3 linked regions of the Ovis aries genome follow. The protein of the gene in region 2 interacts with the protein of the main gene of each other region in a pairwise test. Links are inferred from orthologs where the notes say so. Each region holds a gene or a part of one and is shown on either strand. Other genes may lie near its edges.

What was found. The genes of interacting proteins can lie anywhere in the genome.
Region 1: the proteins of PRPF31 (region 2) and TMCC2 interact in a two-hybrid assay, tested with the Homo sapiens proteins (2 studies listed by BioGRID). The two-hybrid records come from large-scale screens. The link is inferred for Ovis aries from reciprocal best matches to the Homo sapiens genes PRPF31 and TMCC2.
Region 3: the proteins of PRPF31 (region 2) and KHDRBS3 interact in binary tests that used the Homo sapiens proteins (3 or more experiments, as listed by UniProt). The two-hybrid records come from large-scale screens. The link is inferred for Ovis aries from reciprocal best matches to the Homo sapiens genes PRPF31 and KHDRBS3.

Annotation. Positions count from the first base shown.
Region 1 is NC_056065.1:2,864,690-2,869,590, reverse strand, and holds the start of TMCC2 (transmembrane and coiled-coil domains protein 2), read right to left. Parts: upstream 3,226-4,901; 5' UTR 2,911-3,225; coding exon 2,704-2,910; intron 1-2,703.
Region 2 is NC_056067.1:64,005,149-64,009,393, forward strand, and holds part of PRPF31 (U4/U6 small nuclear ribonucleoprotein Prp31), read right to left. Parts: intron 3,943-4,245; coding exon 3,785-3,942; intron 3,370-3,784; coding exon 3,280-3,369; intron 1,751-3,279; coding exon 1,623-1,750; intron 1,543-1,622; coding exon 1,470-1,542; intron 1,040-1,469; coding exon 911-1,039; intron 789-910; coding exon 690-788; intron 1-689. UniProt on the Homo sapiens protein: Involved in pre-mRNA splicing as component of the spliceosome. Required for the assembly of the U4/U5/U6 tri-snRNP complex, one of the building blocks of the spliceosome.
Region 3 is NC_056062.1:19,608,457-19,613,399, reverse strand, and holds the start of KHDRBS3 (KH domain-containing, RNA-binding, signal transduction-associated protein 3), read left to right. Parts: upstream 1-1,718; 5' UTR 1,719-2,172; coding exon 2,173-2,260; intron 2,261-4,943. UniProt on the Homo sapiens protein: RNA-binding protein that plays a role in the regulation of alternative splicing and influences mRNA splice site selection and exon inclusion. Binds preferentially to the 5'-[AU]UAAA-3' motif in vitro.

The DNA.
Region 1 (4,901 bases), on a different chromosome or scaffold from region 2:
GAGTTTTAAAACTGCTGCTTAACTATTTTTCCTTCTCACTGGTCCTTCACGGCCCCCAATCGCAGATCCCAGGCTACCACAGGAGAAATCTACAGTGCAGTCCTCCACAACACTGAAGGACAAGAAGGGAGACCACCGGAGCCCCTGCTCCGGGGCTGCTCGACAAGCTTGTCTATCAGGGCACATGCGGATCACTCTGTCCTCTCCTTTCGCCCAACTTCCATGAGGTGCTTCAGACAAAGCCTTTTTTTTTTTCCTCAAGATGATTTCCTCCACTGCTCCTAATCCATCACAACGCCTGGAGCTGTTACAAGAAAACAGCGGTGGACTAAGGGACCAGAAATTCCTATTTCCAAAGTTTAAAATGAAAACAAAACCAAGCCAGAACTGCAGGTTGCTCCAGGCCAGACACAGGTAGGGGACAGGGGGTGTTAAAAAATCAAACTTACCCTATTCCGGTACCACCATCACACCTAAAACAAGGTAGCTTCTATGCAGCGCTACAGCCAAAGATGGGATTTTTCCATTGCTGGAAAACTATGCCAGTGCTGGAAAATAAGTTTAGACATACTTCAAAATTCCTAGTCCCTTTCCCCAGAAAAAGGCTCAGAAAAGTTGAGTCACTTGCCTGAGATCACACAGCAAATTAAACTGCGATAGCCCCCAAGTTGGTGTCTGTCTCTGAAGTCCCTACTTTGTAAACACGTGATAAAGCAGACGGACATAAACAGGAAAAGGCCCTGCTTGTCTCCCCGAGCTCCCACGGAGCAGGCAACAGCTAGGTTTTCCCTGAGCTGCCAGCCTGGGTTCACACAGCTATGGTCAGCTCAGAAATATGTTTTCTGATGGGGGTGGAGGACAACTTGGAAGGACAAGAAAAGAAGGTGTCCTTTTCTCACACCTGATCTCAACTGTGGTTCAGGGATGACCCGCATTTAATATCAAGTGTAGAGCTGTTGTTGCTGTGTCTGCCCCAACCAGAATGACAGTGTCAACCGCCACCACCCTCCCCCAAAAAGAGGGAGAGAGAGAGAGTATAAGAGGTAAGCGGGTGGAGATGAATGAGCTTCTTTCAGCAGCTTTATCCACAGAGACAAAGACACTGCAGCCCCCACCGCAAGCCCACCTTCCCTTGTGAAGGCAGCGGGGGACATGAACGGAGCCGGTGGTTTTCACTGCGGCCGGAGCTGAATCGTGGAGGAGTTTCCAAGGCTGCTTTTCATGGACTCGGGGTGAGGATCCCATCTCACCAAGGAATCAGGATGTGCTGGCCAGACCCCTCTGGATCAGCCCAGAAGGAAGCTGAAGTTTGCAGCAGAAGGCTGCCCCTGCCCCACGTCAGCACTAAGGGCAGCCCTTTTCCTTCACCATCTCATTGAAAATAGGAACCACGGCTCCTGACCACTCAGGTGGGCTCAGAGGTGGCAGGTGGGCCAGGTACCAAGGACTCTCCCTGAACTGCCTACCCAGTGGAGCTCATCTTACACATAAAGCTAGCCCCGATCCTCTGAAAAAGGGCAGCCGCAAAATCAGAGGTTACGTTCAAATAACTGCCACCAATTTTTAAGACACACACATGGAGGCAGAAGTCACCTTCTTACCCCTCCCCAGGAAACACAGACAGGGGACACACACTCACCTGCGCTCTGACTTCCTGGCTCTGTGCCGCTCAGGCCAAACGAGGAGTGTCATTGGTTTATTCTGGCGAGCTCCTTAGTGGCTGCTGCCGTAGGAGACAGGCTTTATTTAACATAATGGAGTCCTTTTGCTCCCCTAGCCAAGACCTTGCACCCCCTCTGGAGAAAATCTCCCCAAGGCATCAGTCTCCAAGGCGTCTAAGTTCCTTCCTTGGGCTGACATCGCTCTCAGCCCGGCGGTGAGCTTGCTTGAGAAGCCTGAGCCTGCAATTCCTGTGGCAGCTCCAGCAAAGGTGCATTATTTATCACAGCTGCTGTTTTAGTTAATATAGAGACATATCCAGTACAGCTCAATAATTGTCTCGGCAACCTAAGCTGGAAAATAAAGGACTCCCAACTGCAAGTGGCCGCCTCTCTCAGATCCTGGTTCTCCCTGCCGGCTCATCATGTGTGCAACTTGAACCGAGGCCCCAAACCAGCGCAAGCACCAAGCGGCCACCTGTCAGTTCTCCACCCTGGGGGCTGGTTTAGGAAACCAGCCCGGATCTCCAAGCACTAGCTTAACCTCTGGCTCCACCTAACGGCAGGAAACCCACACTCCCCTTTCACAGATGGACAAACTGAGCTTCAATCCAGGAAGGTCCCAGAAGGAGGAAACTAATTCAGCAAAGGAGCTAATGGTCCTTTGCTTGGGTTCCCACCCCTGTTATCTCCTTCCCCTTCCAGGGAGGGGAAGGGATGTCAACTTTTTAGTTAGCATTTCGGATTTCTCCAGCTCTTTGTCTGCGAATAGCGCTTCACACACATTATTCAAACAACCTCCGATGCGTGAGTCACTAGAACGTCTGCTGAATAATGAGGAACAAACACAGAGGCCTGAAATAAGCTGAAAGACAGAGGCACAAATGGTACCTGAGATCTAGCCCAGGGTCTGGCTGAACATCTGCCCATCCTCTCTGACCTCTGTCTGGCTTCCCCATCACTTTTAGCCTGTTACAGCACTTCTGCGTGGGGCGGGGAAAGCTAAGTCGCCGGTTGAGCTCTCAAGGGGAGGGTCTGCGCTCACCTTTAAATCGGGAGGCTTGCTTCGGGGACCCGGGTTGGGCGCCGCGGCAGCGCCCGCATCCGAAGTTGGCCCGCCAGCAGAGTTAGCACCCGCGGCCTCCCCAGGCCGGATGTCCGCACCCGGCAGGTGGCAAGCAGCATCTTCCAGCCCGGCTCCATCCTCCTCGCCCTGCTGTTGCTGCAGCTCGTCCGATTTGCACCTCTTCATGGTGTAGATGGGTCGGCAAGGGGAATCTGTCCTTCCAGCGCGCCGTCCTGGGGGGAGACCGCACCCCCTCTTACACTCAGAAACGAGGCTCCGGGTCTAAATTATTAACGAGGAGGGGAGTCGGGCGGATCACAATTTCTTGAATTGAAAAAATAAACCTTTTCAAGGGAGGGTGAGGAAAGGGCGAGGAGCGGGGAGCCTTGGTTACAGCTTGGAATAGTTCATCGCCACCCGGGGAGCGAAGGCAGGTCACAGTCGAGGTTGGGCAGCAGGAGTCCTTGGGCAGTCATTGGAGCGGGAGGAGGAAGACAGCCCCCGGCCCCCAAACTTTCTGCTTCAGGGCACGCGCAGGGCGGAGGAGAACCGGGCGGCACCGCGCATCCCTCCCGGCGGGCCGGGCTGCTGGGCGCGGCAGGCATGGGGCGGCCGGCCGGGCAGGTCCTCGTCTGCCGCCCTTGGCGGCGACTGCGGCCGCCCGCCCCGCCGCGGGCCCCCGGCCCGCACCTGCCGGCGGAGGAGCCCGCAGCGCGCCCCCGCCCCGCCCGCGCGCCCGGCCCCCGCCCGCCGCACCGCCTGCTGCAAAGCCGCCGCCGCGGCCTGAGCCCGCGGCCAGCGTGCAACCTAGCCGGCCGGTGCGGCGGCCGGGCGGGGGAGGCGAGGCTAGGAGGGCGTGACGACGGCCGCCGGCCAATGGGGAGCCCCGAGGGCCGGGGGGGGCGTCGCGGCCGCGTCCTTGGGGTTGGTTGCACCGCGCGATCCCCCAGGAGCAATCCGGAGGGCTGGAGTGCTGCGTCTTAGCATTGCGGACAGCGGGCTGCGGAGTTGAGATCAGGGGCGTCGGGCCACCGAGGCGCGATTTTAGCAGAAGCACCCGAGGGACCCTTGCAGCAAACACTCTGTCGGGGTGTCCCCCACCCACTCATTTTATTTGGCGGGGAGGAGGCGACATAGGGATGCTTATCATCACGCCTTTTTTGCTCTAACTTCGCACATTATAGCATCTCTTCGGTGAGGAAGACGCAGATCCTAAGACCCTTGATCTGAAACGCGGACAGATTGCTACCTTCAGAGCTGCAAATGCAAAGGGAAGGAAGAGAGCGGGTGTTCTTCTGCCCCATCGCCTCCTCCCCTAATTATCTAAAGAGTCTCAGCTTTGTGCTCAGAAATAAGAAAGTATCTCATTTTTGAACACAATAATGTATGTGAGTGTTTTTGCAAACTGTGAAGCAGCTTTTAGATAAGAAGGGGTTTTAATGACAGGAGGTTGACACGTGGAAGAGAGGAAAGGAATTCAATCTTTTCCCTCCATAAATCTCAGCAAAACTGCACTGAGTAATCTGGAGGCAGAAGAGAGTGAATACTGGGGTTACCAAGAGATGGAGCCGGGTAATAATGACAACCCTATTCTAGTGATTACTTGTGATTACTGCGGATACCATGGGTTTTGCCCACCCAGCAGCCTAGATGAACAGTTTTGGAAGTAGGTTCCAGGACCAGCAGCCTCAGCATCACCTAGAAACTTGAGAGAAGTGCAAATTATTGGACACCATCTAGACCTATTCAGAGAAGGCAATGGCTCCCCGCTCCAGTAATCTTGCCTGGAAAATCCCATGGATGGAGGAGCCTGGTGGGCTGCAGTCCATGGGGTTGCTAAGAGTGGGACGTGACTGAGCGACTTCACTTTCACTTTTCACTTTCGTGCATTGGAGAAGGAAATGGCACCCACTCCAGTGTTCTTGCCTGGAGAATCCCAGGGACGGGGGAGCCTGGCGGGTTGCCATCTATGGGGTCGCACAGAGTCGGACACGACTGAAGCGACTTAGCAGCAGCAGCAGCAGCCAGACCTATTGAATCAGAAATAGTGGGTCCCAAGATCTGTTTCAACAAGTCTTTCAGGTCATTCTGATGCACGCTAACGTTTGAGAACCACTGGCCTAGACCGTAGTGAAGGGACCACTTAGTGTGTGAGTCACAGTGATCTCTAAGGCGTT
Region 2 (4,245 bases):
AAGATCCCCAGGCGATTTTAAAAACATCACTGTGTGAGAAAGGCTGATCCCGTTCAGTTCCTGAATGAAGAAACCGAGTCCCAGAAGTAAGAGGCTTGCCCGCAGTCCCAGCATGAACCGCACCAGCCCCAGCGAGGATTTACCAACCAGCTCTGGGGGTCTGACACGTGGCTGGCATTGATCCACGTCTTACACCCGGGGATTCTCACCTTGCTGAGGCTGTCCCTGGAGGCTCCGTCTCCCTTAGTCCTTTCCGGCCCAGCACTTTCCACCCCCCAACACTATGTATCTTACTTGTCTGACCCCTGAGATAAACTCCAAGAGGGCGAAACTCCCCGTGTGTGTGTGTGTGTCTGTGTGTCCTATTTGTCTGTCCCCTGAGATAAACTCCAAAAGGGCCAAACTCCCTGGTGTGTGTCTGTCCATCTCAGCGCCTGCGACAGTGCCCCTGGAATTCAGCGGGCATCCTCAAGGGTGGGAGCAGCTGGGCCTGCTCGGGGCCACAGAGACTCAGTGGTCCCTGCGAACCGTGACATGTGCTGGGAATCCAGATACAACCTCGGGGGCTTCTTTGGAGCCCCCCGCCCAAACCCATGGCAGTCCTGAAGTGGGGCACAGGTAAGGAAGCAGCAGCCCAGGACAGGGGAACACGGCCTTCCCCGGGCCTGCTGCCTCCAGAGACCCAGTACCTGGAGTGGGGTGAAGGCCACGCTGGAGGCGGTTCCCGACGAGCGGTCACGGATGGTGGACTTCCCACCGTACACCACGCTCTGCTTCTGCAGGGTCCGCTGCGGGGAGGGCAGGGCGCTCAGGGCTGTGGCCTGGGTCTGCACACGCGCGCCTGCCCCCGAAGCCCAGGCCCCGCCCCCGTAGCCCAGGCCCCGCCCCCATCCCCAGGGCTGGCCCGCACCTGCAGCGTCTTGGAGATCCTGGCTTTGGTAGCCTCGTTCACCTGTGTCTGCCGCACCCGCCCGCTGCCCGACTTGCCCAGATGTCCCAGGCTGAAACCCAGATCCTCCTGGTAGGCGTCCTCCTCGATCTGGTGGGAGGGGAGACGTCCAGGTGTCAGCCGCCCCTCAGGCAGCCCAGGGCTCCATCCCATCCGGGACTGCCTGGGCCCTGAGTGCAGTGAGCCTTGCTGGGGCCCCGGTGAGGAGCAGGGGTCCTGTTACCACTGCTTGAGCTGAGGGGGAGTGTGTGTGTGTGCCTGCGCCGTGTGAAGAGCCGCAACAGTGGTCACTGACGACACGCAAGCTAGTTCCGGCAGGACCAGCGGGGTGGTGCTCAGGTAGCCGGGGCCTGGCAGGCGCGGGGCCTGGGAGGGCCTGGACAGCGGGGTGGGGACGGTGGGGGGAGATCCCTCTGGGGCTGGGACAGAGTGGAGGCCAGGGGGCCCGGGAAGAGGCTGAGGTGTTGCCTCGGCCACAGCAGTGGAGGGGACGTGGGGGCGCGAGGTAGGGGCGTGTGACCTCTCCGAAGCTCATGCGGTTGGCCTGCTTCCGGATCTCCGTCAGCCCCAGCCGCTCCTTCATCTTGCGGTACCTGGGGCGGGGCAGGGGGTCAGCCGGGAAGGGGAAGCCTCGGCCCTTCCCACCCCGCCCGGTCCGGTCCCCGGGCCCCACCTGCGGCCGCCTCGCTTCTTGCGCTGCCCGTCGAGGGGCGCGGGCAGCGGCTTCACCTGCTTCACGGGCGGTGGCTCCTGCCACTTGTCGAACTTGCGCTCAATCTCGTCCTTCAGCTCGTAGCCCACCTGGGGAGGGCGGGCTGGGGTCCAGCAGCGGCTCCCACGGGCCTGGCCTGCCCCCCGCCCCAGCTCCTCTCAGGTCAGTAAGGGGGATGCCCTGGAGACCGCCGCACCCGAGAATCCAGCTGGAAGGACCCCAGTAGGGCCCCGTCAGCTCCTCTGAGGAGCCAGGCTCTCCCCAGGCGCACAGGCTCAACGTGACCCACCCTGTCCCACCAGCTCCCCCTCCGCGGGGCTCGCTGGGCTCCAGCCTGGCGCTGACCACCCGCTGCTTCAGACCCCGTCCCCCAGCGTCCACGGGACTCGCCTGCTCTCTGCTCGCAGGCCCACGTTAAGCCCTCACCTCCTCAGAGCAGCCCTCCCGCCTCCCAGGTTCATCAGTCTAAGCCCCCTTGGCACCTCCACAGCCTCCTCTCCCCTCAGCCTCTGCTCGGCACCCCGGACGCCCTGCATATTGACCAGCGTGCATCTCCCCATCGCCGCCCGCCCCCAGCCAGACTGGAGAAGCCACAGGGTAGGACTTGCATCTGGCCGGGTCACCGCTGTACCCTGTGGTCAGAGAGCCCCGAACGCTGTGGCAGGCTGGGTGCCTGGAAAACCATACTGCACGGGATAGACACATCTCCTGTCACAGAACAGGTCTGCCCAGGAGGACAGGCTAACGGAATAAACACCAGCATGGCAGCAGTGCTGGCAGAGGAGACAGAGTGCAGCAAAGACGCTCCTCCCCGCCCCAGGGTGTCCAGACACCCCGGTGCAGCAGAGAAGTTCCTCCCCGACCCCGCCCCAAGGTGTCCAGAGACCCCGGTGCAGCAGAGAAGTTCCTCCCCCGCCCCAGGGTGTCCAGAGACCCCAAGGCAGCAAAGACGTTCCTCCCCGCCCCAGGGTGTCCAGAGACCCCGGTGCAGCAGAAAATTCCTCCCCGCCCCAGGGTGTCCAGAGACCCCGGTGCAGCAGAGAAGTTCCTCCCCCGCCCCAGGGTGTCTGCTACCTGGTTCCTGTGAGCTCTCACTGCCTGACAAGCGGGGCTCTGCAGGTGTGACTGGGTTAGGGATCTTGAAGGGGAGTGAGAGCTTAGTGGTGTGTGGGGCCAGTGGGGTCACAGGGGTCTTAAAGGGCCAGAGAAGAAGTGCAGGCAGAGGCAGAGCCAGGGAGAGCACACAGAGGCTGTGCTGGCTCTGAAGATGGAGGCAGGGGCCCCGAGCAGGGGTCGCGGTGGCCCTGGGAAGCTGGAAACCGCCGGGAGCGGCCCTCCCGAGCTCGAGCCTCTGGAGGAGCAAACTCGGCCAGCACTGCGGCGTCAGCTCGGGGAACCCCCGTGGGCCTCTGGCCTGCAGGACTCTAAGACCACAACCCGGTGTCCCTCTGGGCCACTGCACTTGAGGCCATCATCATGGCAGCGTGGGGGAGGGGACGCCGCCCCGGGTGGGGCCCAGCGACACCCCCGCCCCGCCCTGAGTCCCCGTGCGGGAGGGTCTTCTGATGACGGCGCTCCTCGACAGACCACAGACAGGCCATGCGGACGCTGCCCTCACCTTCCCCTCCGTACTCTCGTGGAAGCTGTCCACGCGGGCTGCCAGCGTACACTTGGCGGCCACCAGCCGGGCGGCTTTCCGCCGCAGATCCTGGGGCAACAGACAAGGAGGCGGGTCAGAGCGAGGCAGCAGCCTCAGAGCCCAGGCTTCCCAGAACTGCCGCCTTGCCGCCCTCTCTGCCCGGCAGCCTCCACCTCCACTGCGGCTCAGGCCTGCACTGATGCGTTACAGTAACCAGTGATCATCGCTGGTGTCTTTTCCCACCTCCTCTCCCGTCTGCAGACAAACCAGGTCCAGTTCGCCCACGTACAGACTGGGAGACAGAGGTTCAGAGCTCAGGCTCCGTGCCGGGCAGGTGGGTGGCACTGACGGAACCCCAAGCCAGCCCATCGGCTCCGGCCTCCTTGCTCCTGCCCCCTTGCACCCGCCCGTGCGGGCCACCCTCTGGCTCCCAGCTCCCGACGCCTGCCGCCAGCAGTGACCCGGGGACCCGGGGGGCACTCACTGGGGGCAGGGACTGCACGATGTCGCTGTGGTAGATGTAGCCGGTGTGGGGCAGCACCGAGGTGGACGAGAAGCCCGACAGGGTCTTGCGCTGCGCCCCAAGCAGCATGATGTTGCAGGCAGGCATCTTGGAGAGGTTGGTCAGGCCGCCAGCCACCCCTGCAGCAGGAGGGGGCAGACATCAGCGAGGTGGCGGGGGGTGGTCCGCCGAGCGCTGCCCCTTCACAGGAGTTTCCAGCCGCAGGCCTGAGGGGGGCCCGCCAGGGAGCGTCAACATGTCCCATCTCGGGGGGGATTCAGAGGGGCTCCGAGAGGCAAAGGGACGTGCCGGAGGCTGCACAGTGAGCCCCTGGCCCACGAGAAACCTGACCCCTCGTCTGGGAAGCCACGTGGGCCTGCCTGTGCTTCAGGGGTTGGTCACCACACCAGCGGCCCGGGTGTGAGCCACCTCTGGGTTCCAAG
Region 3 (4,943 bases), on a different chromosome or scaffold from region 2:
GATGAGGAAGATGAGGCACAGAGAGGTGGAGTATCTTGCCCAAGATAGCACAGCTAGTGAGCAACTGAGCCATGATTCTAAATGCAGGCTCTCTGGTCCCAGAGGCTACATACTGAACTGTCTCATCTGACAGCCTCTTGCAAGTTTAGACCAAAGAGAGACATGAAGAAGATTCTTACTGGGACTCTGGAATGGCACCTCACCAGGAGTCAGTTCCATCTAGGGGTGGAGCTTGAGAATGAAGGAAGTTCACACTTCGGGCTGGGACCTAGAGCAGCGTAGAGCTCCTTGATTCCCGCCCCAAGCATCTCTGGGTATAGTGTGTGCTCAGTCACTAAATCGTGTCCCACCTGATGCTTTGCGATCTCACGGACTGAAAGAATACTGGAGTGGGTTGTCATTTCTTTCTCCAAGGCATCGTCCCAACCCAGGAATTGAACCCTGAATCTCCTGCCTTGGCAGGTGGATTCTTCCTCCCATGCCATCAGGGAGGCCCCCCTTGGGTGTTGTCACCTCTATTTGCATCAAGAGTACAGCCAGTTGCCTGGGGGCTTGGGAGGAAGACCTGCTCCCAGAGGAGTGGCATGTCTATGGCTTATTCCTTCATCACACATTTCTGGTGCCCCTACACCCGTCCTAGGCCACTAGGTGCTGGGGATCCTTCCCCATAAAAGAAAGCTCTAGCCCTGTCTGTGAGGTGCTCATGGTCTGGGGAAAACAGAATCAGAGTTCTCCGTGAGTGAGGCCTGACCAGCGCTGGTGGGACACAGAACAGGTACCACTTTGTTGGGGAAGTCCTGGAAGGCTGTCCAAGAACAGGGACGTAGAGGCCCGGACTTGAGGTGGGATATGATGGGGCAAAGGCAGGACAGACTCGGAGTCTTCGGGCCCCGCCACTGACTCTACCTGGGATATCTGAAAACGGTCCGATGGAGGATTTGTCGAGGTGGGTGGCTGTGCGTAAACGAAAGGAGGACGGCAGCACCCACGTGCGTCCAGGGGACTGCGCCCCAGAGGGGACGGGCTGCGGCTCCCTGCCCCGCCTCCGGACTCGGCGGATTTCTGCGCGAAGAGAATGACAACCCGGCGGCAAGCGGAATGACAAAGCCGACCTGAAGGGCACGCGCTTTTATGTAATCGACCTCGGTTCCAAGGGTCTCACGGGTTGGCGCTGAGCGCAAGAGGCACCCACCGAGGCAGGACGGCTGGGCGCCCACGTTATTTCCTAGCAAACAGGAGCAGGGGAGGCAAAGCGAGCTAAGTTATGGAAGTCCAGGGAGCTTGAGAGCAGGGCAGCTCGCCCCGCCGCCCTTTCCCAGAGCCCGCGGCGGCGAGCCCGGGTGCTCCTCGGCGTCCTTCTCCGCCCGGCCCCTGAGCCGAGCGCGCAGCCCTCCTCCCGGGATCGCTCGCTGGGTGACCTTGGGCGAGCCGCTTGACCTCTCTGGGCGCAGTTGCCCGGGTTCTGCGTCTCGGCCCGCCGTGGCCGAGCCGCGCGGCGCTCCGCGCACGCCTCCCAGGGAGCTGCGGACCGGCGCGGCGCCGGCGGGAGGCCCCCGGGACGCCCCTCCCGGGCTCGGTCGCGTAGCCGGGAGCGGCCCCACCAGGCGGCGCGCCGCAGCGGGCGGCGGGCGGCAGGGCGCGGGGCACAGTGCGCAGGCGCGGCGGGCGGGGCGGGGCCGGGCGCGGCGGGCGGGGCCGGGCGCTCGGCTCCGCGGCTCAGAGAGCGCGGGGCGGCGCGCGGCGTGCGGGTCGCTGCTGAGCTCCGCGCCGGCGCCGGCTGGCGGGGCTCGCCGGGGACTGTGTCCAGTTCGCGGAGCGCGCCGCCGGCTCGGCCGGAGGGCCGCCTGATCGCTCCGGCCCGTGGCGGGAGCGCGGAGCCCGCGTCTGGGAGGCGGCGGCCGCCAGCGCGGGGCCGTCGGCGGCCAACCCCCGGGGACCAGGGCTGCGCGGCCGGTTCCCGCCCCGCGCCGCCGCCGCCGCCACCGCCTCCGCCGCCGCCGCCGTCCCCGGGCCGACTGCTCGGCTTGGCTCCGCCGCGCCCCGCGCCGCCCCACCGCGGCGTCCGGCCCGGGTTCCGCGCCGCTGGGGCGCGGGCGGGGTCGGGGGTTGCGGGGCCGCCGCCGCCGCCCGCCCGCCTGGAGTCCGCGTCCCGGGCCCGGGCGGCCGGCGAGCATGGAGGAGAAGTACCTGCCGGAGCTGATGGCGGAGAAAGACTCCCTGGACCCATCCTTCACGCACGCCCTGCGGCTGGTGAACCAAGGTGAGGGCGCGCGCCGGCCGGCTGGCCGACCGACCGACCGACCGTTAACGGTCGCCCACGGCCGTTGGGGACCCGGGAGCGGCGGGCTGGGGGGAGGGGTGGGGGGCTGGAGACTGGGGGGCGTCGGGCCCGGGGGCGAGGCGCAGGTGTTGGGGGGTGCGGAGCCGTGGCAGCGAGCTGGCCGTCGACCTCGGGGCGACCGGAGGGGACCCAGGTCGCAATCTGGCGGGGGGCGCTGATTCGGGTGGGGATGTGGGACACCTAGGGGAAGCCGGAGTGTTGTGTGCGCGTTGTGGGGAGACGCGGGAAGGGAGGCAGGCTGGGCGTTTGGATGCGACTTGAAGGGAATCTGTGGGGGACTCGAGGGTACCCCAGGGAAACTTGCGGGTGGGGCACCACGAGCATCTGGGGGCTTCGTTGGGGCGGGGGTTGAATGAGCTCATTGGAGGGGAGAATGGGGCGGTGGGGGGCACCAGGGAACTAGTTGCGTTTGGTTAGAGAGCTGGAGAAAGAACTCGAGGAAAATGGAAGGATTCGAGGGGATCGGAAGCAGAAGAGGTGAAGGGAACAGGTGCTTGGATTGTTGGTGAAGTTTGAGGACCTCGGAAGAGGTTTGGGGTCAGAACCCCCGGCACGTTGGAGGAGCAGGGCCCGCTTTCCCGGTTCCCTCTTCATTCCTCTCTCTCTCTCTCTCTCTCTCTCTCTTTCTCTTTCTCTCGCGGGTCCGGGCTCTCGCCGCCCTCCCCGCGGGTGGGCAGCTCACACCTAGCCTTGCAGGCCGGCCCTTGGAGAGTCATCGGGGGGCGGGAAGAGACCCACGCAGGAGAGTCTGCTTCTTGACTTGCCTGTCCTCTCTCTGGGAGGCTCTGGGTGGGTCACCCTCACTGGGGGCCGGCTCGGGGTTGAGAACACTGGCCAAGGAGCCTTTGCTGCTTGTGCCATTTTAGCGCGCCTCGGGCCAGCTCAGGGCGTGAGCCGCCCCGGGAAGTACCGGACGCGGGGTGCCCCGGCGTACGGAGGCGTGCCCGCCCAGGACGGCGTTCCCTGGCTTGTTCCTTCTCCAGCTTCCCGAGTAATCTGCCGGGATGGACGGTAAATGAAGCCCGCCTTCCCCAGAGCGATGTCCTTCATCCCCTCCTGGATCTGGAATGCGTGTTTCAGATAAAGATGGGTTTGGGAGCCGTTGGTATGCTTTTTCTCTGGGTGATGGCACAGACCATCCGGCAGAGGTTATCCCGTCAGATCTGTTACCTTTTGCACGAATCACTGTGCCTTGAGGGTCTGTGGTTCCCGACTCAGCCGGGTCTGCTGATCTTCATGCTGACCCTGGCTTTTTGATTGTTGAAAGTGGAAGATGAGGCAGACATATTCTATTTGAATATAGGTGTCTATATTTTACAATAGCGACCTCCGGTATTTGCCTATTGCAACCCGTTCTTCCTAGTAGGGTGTGTGTGTGGTCGAGTGAGGGTCTTGGTGGAGGGACTGACTGTCTGCAAGAATTTAAGCTTGGTATTTAATTTGTTGAACAGAGATGGGTTCACTGAGCTTTCCCATTTTAATTGTAGGCTTATTTTTATTTCTTTAATAAAACGGGCTTGTGAAAAAGTAATGGCTATGCGTTGCAGAAAGCGAATTTTAAGTTTTATTGCCATGCTCTTGTGAACAGTTGGGTTTGTACTCCTCTCTCTTTGTGATTTACATATATCTTTTGTTGCCTGCTGGGCTGTCATCTCTATGAAAGAAATTTCTTTGTACGTTGTGTGAGATCATTGGCATTAGAAATATTCTGGATTGTGGAATGAAGTGTATTTTTCTGAATAAAGAAGCTGAGTCAAAGTTAGGTTGTACTCAATTAAAGAAGCAGTTTTAACAAAAGTGTAGTAAGTTATCTTATTTTGAAAGTCAGAACTAATTTTCTGTGCCAGGTTGCTGTGGCATTCATTTTGCTAATACATTTGGAATTCTTTTGGTTTCTTTGTTTTTACCTGTGGTAATTGCTTCCAATTATTTGAAACAGATCTTGGGCAATGTTGCCATTTAGTTGTTTTTTTTTTTTAGGTGTTAAACCTGATTACCTTACTTTTTCATCAAAAATGTAATTCTTGCAAGAGGTACATTTCTTACATTGAACAGTTAGGGAAGTAACTTATTCAGATATTCTTATTACTGTTAATTTAGATTTCTTCAGACTGAAATGTTTTCCCCTTAAATCACAGGCTGCTTTCTGGAATGCAGAGCTCTATCATTTAAAATATTAATTATGCTGTTACGTAACTCCAGAATTACAAGTGGCATTTCTGAAACACGGTGTCTTAAATCTGAATTGATTATTATAAAGCTTTGATTTTAAATCTGATAATCATTTTGTGATTGACTACCAAGAGCATTTTTATTCTTTTTTTAATCTGTATTTTTGACTATTTCCCTCTAAAGGGAGGCATCTGTTTTTCAGATGAATCTTGATACTAGGATGGGTATTCAGGCACTAACTTATAAATGGTAATGGGTCACACCTTTATTTTATTATGGAGTGGCCTGTGATAAGTAGACTTGACGCTTAACATCACCAAATGCTGTCAGTACCTTTGTATAGTGTTCTCAAGTTTCCCAGGCTCTTTGAGGCACAGCTGTCTGCTTGTGTTCTCACACTCAGCCCTAGTGAGGCAGACGTTGATGTCTC